3 linked regions of the Ovis aries genome follow. The protein of the gene in region 1 purifies or fractionates together with the protein of each later gene. This does not show direct contact. Links are inferred from orthologs where the notes say so. Each region holds a gene or a part of one and is shown in the gene's direction. Other genes may lie near its edges. The genes, in order: TDRD3, FXR1 and FMR1.

Region 1 (3,660 bases):
TTTGTTATAGACATGCTATGAGAAACAGTGGAGGAAGAAAGAGTAAGTGACACAGAACAAATCGAAGGAGAATAAAGATCATTATGTGAAATATAACCATCAGATTATCTGTGAGGTATATGTATATATGCCATGTTACTGATTTGATTTTTGGTTGGACATTTTCTGTGCTATTTTGCTTAATCAGATTTTGACACTTTTGCCCCTGTATTTCCAAGTAGTACCTGTTCTTTGATAGGTTTATGTTATTATTCACTCAGTTGTGTCTGCCTCTTTGCATCACGTGGACTGTAGCACACCAGGCTTCCCTGTCCTTCACCAGGGAAAGTTTATAAATAGATATCTAATTGTAATCCAAATACTTAGCAATTCCAGATCCAGAAAGAACTGAGAAATTTTTGTTTTTTTTTTTGCTAAGACTAGAACTTGACTGACAGTGATTGATACATTTAAAATGAGGTGGGGACTCAGAAAAGAACTGAGCTAGAGGTATACTTGTACAGTTTCATAGCAGTTTCTGTGGTTTAAGTTTGTAGTTCTGTTTCACCAGTCTTGGGAAATGAATTACCAGAGCAGCATGTATAGATAGCCATAACAATGCAAATATTCAGTAACAAAGACAACTTGCTTTTGAATATCCACCATTTTTTCATGGTTCATATCATTGCTTTACTTCACTAATGTGGCTAACCAGGCAAACTGTACATTAGAAACATAAGAGTCTAACCAAGCAAAGAGAGATTAAGATAATGAGGTGGGAAGATGTTAAATGAGTAGTTTGATAATTAAGTATTAATGCAGTCTTCATTTTAATATGCATATGATTACTTTTACTTTTCAGAACCTAAATCACAGCCGCAGCAGCTTCATCAAGGACAAAACAGAATGTCAAATACTGAGCAAAATGGAGTAAAAGATAATAATCAACCACGATATCTTCCTCGAAATGATACCAGACAGCCAAGAAATGAAAAACCTCCTCGTTTTCAAAGAGACACCCAAAATTCAAAGGCAGTTTTAGAAGGCAGTGGATTACCTAGAAACAGAGGTTCTGAAAGACCAAGTACTTCTTCAGGATCTGAAGTATGGGCTGAAGAGAGAATCAAATGTGATAGATCATATTCTAGATACGATAGAACTAAAGATACTTCTTACCTTTTAAGTTCCCCACACAGTGATGCTGTATTTACAAAAAGGGATAACTGTATGCAAAGCCGATCAGGAAAAGGTCCATCCTATGCAGAGGCAAAAGAAAATCCTTTTCCTCAAGAATCCATAGATTATAATAATCACAAACGTGGGAAAAGAGAAAACCAAACAGCAAATTCGGATCATTTTTATGACAGGAAGCCACGAACAGTAAATAATGAAGCTTTTAGTGGTGTAAAAATTGAAAAACATTTTAATATGAATACTGAACACCAGAATCCTGTCCGAACGAATAGTTTCATTGGTGTTCCAAATGGAGAGACAGAAATGCCACTGAAGGGAAGGCGAGTGGGACCTATTAAGCCAGCAGGACCCATCACGGCTTCATCCTATGATGATAAAATATTTTACAGTAGTGGTCCCAAAAGAAGATCTGGGCCAATTAAACCCGAAAAAGTACTAGAATCATCTATTCCTATGGAGTATGCAAAACTGTGGAAATCTGGAGATGAATGTTTAGCACTTTATTGGGAAGACAACAAGGTATGCATGCTGTAAAGTTATTAAATACTAATATTACTGAATGTAACAGTCTAGTGAGACCGTAGAACACCATGGCTTTGGGACAGGGTTTCAGTCTCTGGTTGTACTTGTTTATAGTCTTTGAACAGATGTATGCATATGTAACTTATCAAAGGAAGAGCAAAATATTTAATATTTTTTATGGATGCTTAGGAGTTCCATAACTTGGTTGTTAGGTTTGATTTTCACTTGCATATCAGAAAAGTATTGTAAAAGTGAATAAATGAGGTTGACAAGTTACTTTAGTTATCATCTACTGAGCTTAATATTTACTTTTATTTATTTTACTTAATAAAATGAATAATTTAATAAAATAAATAATTTTATTTATTTTACTTAATATTTGCTTTTCTTTCTAATAAAATTGTACTGATTCATAAGGAAGCAAATCAGTTGAATGGCACACAGTTAAGTTCTGCAGATGTCATTTAACTTAAAGATAATATACATAATTAACCTACTTTAAAAACATTATGAGGAGGAAGGTTAATTATTTAGCTAACAATAAATAATTTAAGAGTTATTAAACCAATAATTTAAACAGCCTTGTGTTCTACATTATATACTGGCTAAAAGGAAAAGTGGGGGTGGGGAATGGAAATGGAAAGATACAAGATGAGATTGAGAAGGAATACAGTGAATCAGATAAAAGAGCCTGAAAAAGGAAGAAGACCGACACAGTGAGAACAGGAAAGGAAGAGGCCAGAGGGCCCCCAGACAGGAGGGACTTTGTTTGTGTCTCCATTTCTGCCCAGCATGCTCCTCCACTAACTGCTCTTCTGATCCTTGAAGACTTGGCTCAGAGACTTCCTAGAGGAAGCCTTTTTTGTCTGCACCCTCCTCCTTTCTACATTATTGTCTGTCTCAATCAGTGCCTTGTTCACTTTCTAAAGCTTATCACAGTTTGTAAGTATTTTTGTTTTTGGTTCCTATATTGATAACTGTTTCCCCTGCCATGATTTTAAGTCCCTTGAAGACAAGACCATATCTCTCTAGTTTTTCTCTATTGCCCTCTTCCTCTCACAGTCCCAGGAGGCACTTGCATAGGAAAAAAACTTGAGTGGTTAGGGCACTGGAGATATTGTTGTTGTTCAGTCACCCAGTCATGTCCCACTCTTTGCGACCCCATGGACTGTAGCCCTCCAGACCCCCTGTCCCACACCGTCTCCTGAAGTTTGCCCCACTTCATGTCCATTGCATCGGTGATGCCATCCAGCCATCTCGTCCTCTGACAGCCTCTAACCTTTCTGTCCTCAATCTTTCCCAGCATCAGGGACTCTTCCAATGAGTCAGCTGGAGATATTAGCAAGGTAATAAAAACCAGAGGTAGTCGTACTAGGAAAACTATTGTGAAGGACCTAGGTGAATGTGAAGATCAAGTGAAAAATATATTTGTAACAAATATTTTATGTATAGAGTACTTTCAGTTGAGATGGCTGTGCCCATATGTGTGACTGGAAGGAATAGTGGAGATAATGTTACCTGAAGATTTCAAGGAATGAAATTTAGGCTAGGAAGTGTGGTAGGATGTTTTAAGAGATGCTGTATGGCTTAGGATCAGGAAACAGGCCCCATTGTGTTCAATGAATGATGAGGAATAAAGAGGGTGTTCAGTTCAGTACAGTTCAGTCACTCAGTCGTGTTCGACTCTTTGCGACACCATGAATCGCAGCATGCCAGGCCTCCCTGTCCATCACCAACTCCCAGAGTTCACTCAGACTCACGTCCATCGAGTCAGTGATGCCATCCAGCCATCTCATCCTTGGTCGTCCCCTTCTCCTCCTGCCCCCAATCCTTCCCAGCATCAGGGTCTTTTCCAATGAGCCAACTCTTCGTATGAGGTAGCCAAAGTACTGGAGTTTCAGCTTTAGCATCATTCCTTCCAAAGAAATCCCAGGGCTGATCTCCTTCACAATGGACTGGTTGGAT
Region 2 (2,311 bases), on another chromosome or scaffold:
TTACCCAACTAGACCAGAAATATTTTGGTTAAAGACTACTCTTGATTTTGTTTTTGGCCCCAGGTAACTGAAGATATGCATGCTTGAGCCTGAAATATTTTTCAGTTAGAACTAGAAATAGTATTTATAAAAGATATTGGGCATAGAGACTGTTAACCTTAATTTGGGGAGCAATAGGCTGAATAGACCCTCTTCAAGTGGTGGATAAAGACCTTTGTTTGAATTCTTTGAAATATTTTAAGGGATTTGATACGTAAATTTGAGTTTCCAAAAAAGGTGAGTAAATAGGTGGTTGTTTGCCTTACTTAGGGTATTAACTGTTTATGTCTTTTTGTATGGTGAGTTTTCCAGTGGTTAAAATGAAATTAGGTGCAAGTTTTCAATAAACAGGTACAGATTCTTCCTGTGGCTTATATACTGCTAGCTACTAGAGATAAAGAGTTGAAAGACCCAGAGAGGTGGAATACATTGGGTTTTTTTTTTTTTTTAATTTTAAGAATGTTTTAATTCAGATCATTGTGGTATGTGAAACTAAAATTATTTATTAGCTAATTGATGTTTATGTAGTTATTTTCCTCCTCAGTTATAGATTTTATTTATAAAGAAGTTGAAAAAGTTGTCTCCCTTTGGCAGGCAAAAGATGTGATTGAAGAGCATGGTCCTTCAGAAAAGGCAATAAATGGCCCAACTAGTGCTTCTGGCGATGAAATTTCTAAGCTACAGCGTACTCCAGGAGAAGAAAAGATTAATACCTTAAAAGAAGAAAATACTCAAGATGCAGCAGTCCTGAATGGTGTTTCATAAACTGAAGAAGTTCCTAGTTTACAGTTCTTTACATTACATTTTACAATAGTGCTTGTACAAGCTTGCCAAAGATAGAATATGGATCGCCAGTCTTTCCATCGCACTTTCAGTTCCTCCATTTGGAATTCAGAAAGGGGAGGGATCCTGAAGAAATCATATGTTAAACATACTTTGACACCTACTGTGTTATATATCATCAGATGTGCCTTGAGAATAGTATATGTAACATTAAAAAAAGTTGCTGGCTATAGGAAATGTTATTTTGTTTTCAAAATATGGCAGAGATGGGGGGGAGGTGGGTGGGGTGGGATCCCTAAGCTAATATTCTTTATGAAAGCATTAGCTGCTTTTGTTACATTTTTAATAATATGCAACCACTTCTTCACCTGAGGAAAACTAGAATGAAATGCAGTCTAAGATATTTTGCACTGAATTGTAATTTCTTCATTAGTTTTAGTCTGGAAACTGGTCTGTTTTAATGTGTTTTTAAAATGCTGTATTGTAGAGGAAAATCTGCAGACCACTGGAATACATTTGTTAAACACTCATCTGCAGGGACACTGGGTGTTATTGGCAGTGACTGTTCTACATTGAGGCTTTGTTTGGTTTATTTATTAAAGTGTACAGTATTTAAAAAATCAAACATAGCTTTAGTTAAAACACTAAGCTGAATTAGTCGTGTCCATTCAGACATAACCTGAACTACTGAAAAGATCAATTTCCAGAAGGTTTATTCTGTATAAACTACATGTTAGTCTTCAGTAGAGTATCTTTTCTTTTTCCTCCCTTTTTTCTTTTTCTTTTTTTTTTTTTCTTTTTGGTTTTGATTGTTTGATGTGCAATATGTTTTTGTATGCAGGTAGTAAATAAACTTTTGATCTTCCATTTGCTGATTTTTAACTTTCTACTTTTTAAACCAACTGTTGAAAAGTAGTTGGACCTACCTAAAGGCCTAGAGTAGTATTCTGATTGCTTTTTAAGATGCATTTATACTTGTCCATAAATAGTATTAAAATATTAGTTGGTCATTTTGTAATGAATCCTCTGAAGTCTTAGTACTTAAAAATTTAGTATGTTAGAATAGAATGGTTTAGGGAATTGGTCTCAGAGATTTGATATTAGGAAAGTCTTTGTAACAAAATTCTAGTCATAGGCAACTTTTGGAAGGCATTCGGGTAAAATCCAGAATTTTACTTTTGCCTTTGAGTCTTCGTTATTTTTATAAAGTATAATGAACAGTTTTTAAATAAGGAATGTCACTGATTTTTGGTTTTCAAGGTAATAATTTTAAAGGTTCTCATATTAATGATTGGATTTTTTGTAAATATTTTGTCCAGATGGCATAATGTTAGGACTATACAAACTTTTACACAAAGTAAAAGTTTGCAAGCTGATAATAATTGTGAATTTGTGGGAGGGTTTTGCTCCACAATATTATATAAAGACTACTGAGCAAGAAGAGGGAGCCCTTTTTGTTCACTTGGGATCTGAGAAGTATTTTTATGTG
Region 3 (3,660 bases), on another chromosome or scaffold:
AAAACATACTGTAACAGGTAGTAAATGTTATTTTTAAAGTAATCCAACTTTCTATTGTATTTATGAGGCTATCCTGTTAAGAATTTTTCTGCTGACTTCTTAAATAAAATGAAGCAATTTATAGTTACATGTAAATAAGGAAGAAACACATAGTAGCTAGGCACTTCTTATCCTTCTTATGGTGGTCAATTAATAATTGAAAATGGAGAGGTTTCATCCAGCAAGGTTTATGTGGGTAGGATACCCCATTGATTTGCTTATTCACTTTTGTTTTAAAGTGTGTCTTATGTGTAATCTGTTGTATGTGTTTTTCTTCCTATTCTTAGCTTAAATAATGTGGAAGACCTGGAAATTTAAGGTTGCATTGCATCAGTCCCTTGTTCTTTTAACCAGTGTTCTTCTTTAGATCTTTTGCTTTATATTTCACATTGAATATCTTTTTGGATTATTAGCAGCTGTCCTGTTGCCATGCTTCCCATCACCAGATCTTCCCTTGAGTGGGCTTTGCATCTCTCACCGAGTGGTGACTGCTTTGCCCCCATGGGATAACCTGGACTACCATTCTGTTTTGCAAGATCCACCCATTCCATGAGCTATGACTGTACTTTTGGAGTAAGCCACTCAGCGGCAGTCTCTCCTTTAATTAAGTCCTTTGTAAAACAATGTCTGGTTCAAAGCACAGATGACACTCGTCTAGATCCTTACCTGCCCTTTTCCTGAAACTGCTGTACTAAGATTTTAAGAACTTAGCTTTACAGGGGCTTCCCCAGTGACTGTTCATGTGGACAGTCCCTATGATTGCCTCTGCTTGACTGAGACACCCAACCACTACTCTAGTTGTGGACCCAGTTCCCTGCAGCTAGTAAATCGATGTTTATGAATAGATTGGAAGGAGAAGGGTTAGAACTGAGACATCATCTGGTTTTGACAGAACCTAGCATATTGGAAGCATTGTGTGTGAGGGTCTGTTAGTGGACCCCAGGTGTATATTTTGGTCAATTGATTTTATACTGTTCATCATACTTGTCTTAGCAGAGTTGTAGTCTTTAAGAGGTTTTCAAGGCATGATATCCAATTTTTTGGGTTAACTGTTAGATAGTTCCTGTTCTTTGAAAGTAGAAGATGGCCCAAATTCAGTGTTTCATTAATTAAGGTTATTTACAATGTGTGATTTTTAAGCTTAGCTGGTTAAGTCTTAAATGTCATTTATCTGTATTCATACATTTTAGAGTTGTTTTATTCAATAACCTATTATCAAGAAGTCCCAAAACTACCATATTTGTGCCTTAGCAGATCTATTGGATAATATTGCCAAATTAAATAACTTTAAATTCTTTCAGTATAATTTTAATGCTGAGTATTTTTGTTCTGTCTCTTAATTCTGGACATCAATAATATGTTATCTGTAGTAATTTTCTTTTTAAGGAGACCATTCAATTTCCTGATAATTCTGTGTAACAGTGTTTACTATAAACTTAGAGCTGAAATTGAAATATTTCCAGTATACTTTTTATCTGATGAAAAGGAGAAAGGTTTTATTAAGTAAAATGTCAAATTATTTTTACTGTTATCTTGTATATTTTAAATAGGAAGTAGACCAGTTGCGTTTGGAGAGATTACAAATTGATGAGCAGTTGCGACAGATTGGAGCTAGTTCTAGACCACCACCAAATCGTACAGATAAGGAAAAAGGCTATGTGACTGATGATGGTCAAGGACTGGGTCGAGGTAGTAGACCTTACAGAAATAGGGGGCACGGCAGACGCGGTCCTGGATATACTTCAGGTACAAACTAAGCATTTTACTCAGTAACTTTATCTGTTCCTAGACTTAATAGCTGCTAATCTCTAATATTCATTAGAACCCCATTATAACAATTTCTCACTACATGGTTTCCAGTTCACAGTGGGTCAAATTGTGTTGCAAGACACATAGAGTGAAAAACCTGATAATAACCCATAGAGTTCACAGGGCAGGTGTGAGTTCTGTCCACAGTCTGACTGGGGATAAATCTGCTTAAGCCCTTGTATGCTAATGCCTTTCCTAAGGCCTTTCCTTATTTTATTACTATATAGCCAAAAGTTTTTTCATTTGTGTACTGTGGCTCATGTTTCGTCAGGCATGTGCTGGTCATACTTGCTGGATGGACTGTGTAAATCAGGGGTCTGCATCCTGTGGCTCATAAGGTGATTTTGAGTGGCATGGCCAAAGTCAGCCCTAGGCAAAGTCAAGAAGTAGGCGAAGTCTCTCTTTGCCTCCCCAGCTCTTCTCTCAGTGCTTCTTTCTTCTCTCCCAGTACCTTTCACTGAACGCTATCCCACTGCCCGTGCCTACTGTCTTGCTCAACTGTGTATCTACTATGTAACTTGCTAATGATGGTATAAGGTATAATCCATCTCACAAATATTTGCGTTTCAAAAAGGAACTCTGTAAGATGGAAAAGCCTTCAAGATCCACAGGAATGAAGCTATAATGGTGAAGCTATAATTGCTCATTAGCTCCAACAGAGGAAGAGAGAGGTAGTAGAGTTGCTGTTCTGGAGTGGGGGAGAGAGCTACCTACTCCTAAGGCCAACCTTGAACCTGAGCCCTCATCCCTTTCCCAACAGTCTGTTCTTGATGCTGTGGAAGGTTCCCCCTCACCAAGAAGTTATTTTCCCATCTCCCATCCCCTGTGTTATTAACCCACCCCCTCAGGCATAATAAGTTGACTACAGTAAATCCTTTCTAATAATCAGTTATTCCTGCGGGAGTGGGAGGGAAGGTTGTGGACCAAGCATCAGACAAGCATATCCCCATTCAACGAGGTCCAATCCCTGATCTCACAAGAGACCATTCCCTGAGATAGTAGCCACGATGGCCACCTTTGCCACCCTCTCTAAGATGACCAAAATGTGTGCATTCCCCTTTGTCCCTGGCCAAACCTTGTTAAAAGGAACTCTCTTTCTAGAAGTTTTGTTTATCAAGGTATTGCATTTAATTGTTGTAGGCAACTTTTCCTCCAGAGAGCACAGATGTTTAAAGGAGCACAGCTGTTAAATGATGTGGCATACTCAGGTTTGAACTTAGATGGCTAATAGAATTCCTTTTTTTTTTAAAATGAGAACCAAAAATGTTTGAAACAAAATTGACCTCAAATATCGTGAAAACCTTCATTTTAACTTAAGATAATTTGTTTTACAAAATGGAAGGTGATATATACTCTTTGGTGGGCTTATAAATTGGGAAGTGTAATGGATTACCCCCAGAAACGTCTCTGGAAGTTTCTGTTAACCTAACGTTTTTTTAAGTCGGACAATGGTATATAACTTTTAACTCTCGATAGGAACTAATTCTGAAGCATCAAATGCTTCTGAAACAGAATCTGACCACAGAGATGAACTCAGTGATTGGTCATTAGCTCCAACAGAGGAAGAGAGGGAGAACTTCCTGCGCAGAGGAGACGGGCGGCGGCGTGGCGGCGGAGGAAGAGGACAAGGAGGAAGAGGACGTGGAGGCAGCTTCAAAGGTACAGAGGGTTTTTCGTTTAAGAAATGAAGCTGAATTGTAACAACTGTCTGAAGTTCTATGAAAAAGCTAGGTGATTCAATGACATACTATCAAGCCCCCATTTCTTCCATTTTGTACTGGTCACCATAAGAAAGGCTCACGTAATTAATTA

The links.
Region 2: the proteins of TDRD3 (region 1) and FXR1 purify together in Homo sapiens (affinity purification with mass spectrometry; 3 studies listed by BioGRID and IntAct, with this or other methods). This does not show direct contact. The link is inferred for Ovis aries from reciprocal best matches to the Homo sapiens genes TDRD3 and FXR1.
Region 3: the proteins of TDRD3 (region 1) and FMR1 purify together in Homo sapiens (affinity purification with mass spectrometry; 4 studies listed by BioGRID and IntAct, with this or other methods). This does not show direct contact. The link is inferred for Ovis aries from reciprocal best matches to the Homo sapiens genes TDRD3 and FMR1.

The regions. Positions count from the first base shown.
Region 1 is NC_056063.1:1,957,316-1,960,975, reverse strand, and holds part of TDRD3 (tudor domain-containing protein 3), read left to right. Parts: intron 1-841; coding exon 842-1,692; intron 1,693-3,660. UniProt on the Homo sapiens protein: Scaffolding protein that specifically recognizes and binds dimethylarginine-containing proteins. Plays a role in the regulation of translation of target mRNAs by binding Arg/Gly-rich motifs (GAR) in dimethylarginine-containing proteins.
Region 2 is NC_056054.1:206,880,297-206,882,607, reverse strand, and holds the end of FXR1 (RNA-binding protein FXR1), read left to right. Parts: intron 1-633; coding exon 634-804; 3' UTR 805-1,689; downstream 1,690-2,311. UniProt on the Homo sapiens protein: mRNA-binding protein that acts as a regulator of mRNAs translation and/or stability, and which is required for various processes, such as neurogenesis, muscle development and spermatogenesis.
Region 3 is NC_056080.1:87,704,777-87,708,436, reverse strand, and holds part of FMR1 (fragile X messenger ribonucleoprotein 1), read left to right. Parts: intron 1-1,589; coding exon 1,590-1,785; intron 1,786-2,498; coding exon of another isoform or gene 2,499-2,683; exon of another isoform or gene 2,684-3,324; coding exon 3,325-3,507; intron 3,508-3,660.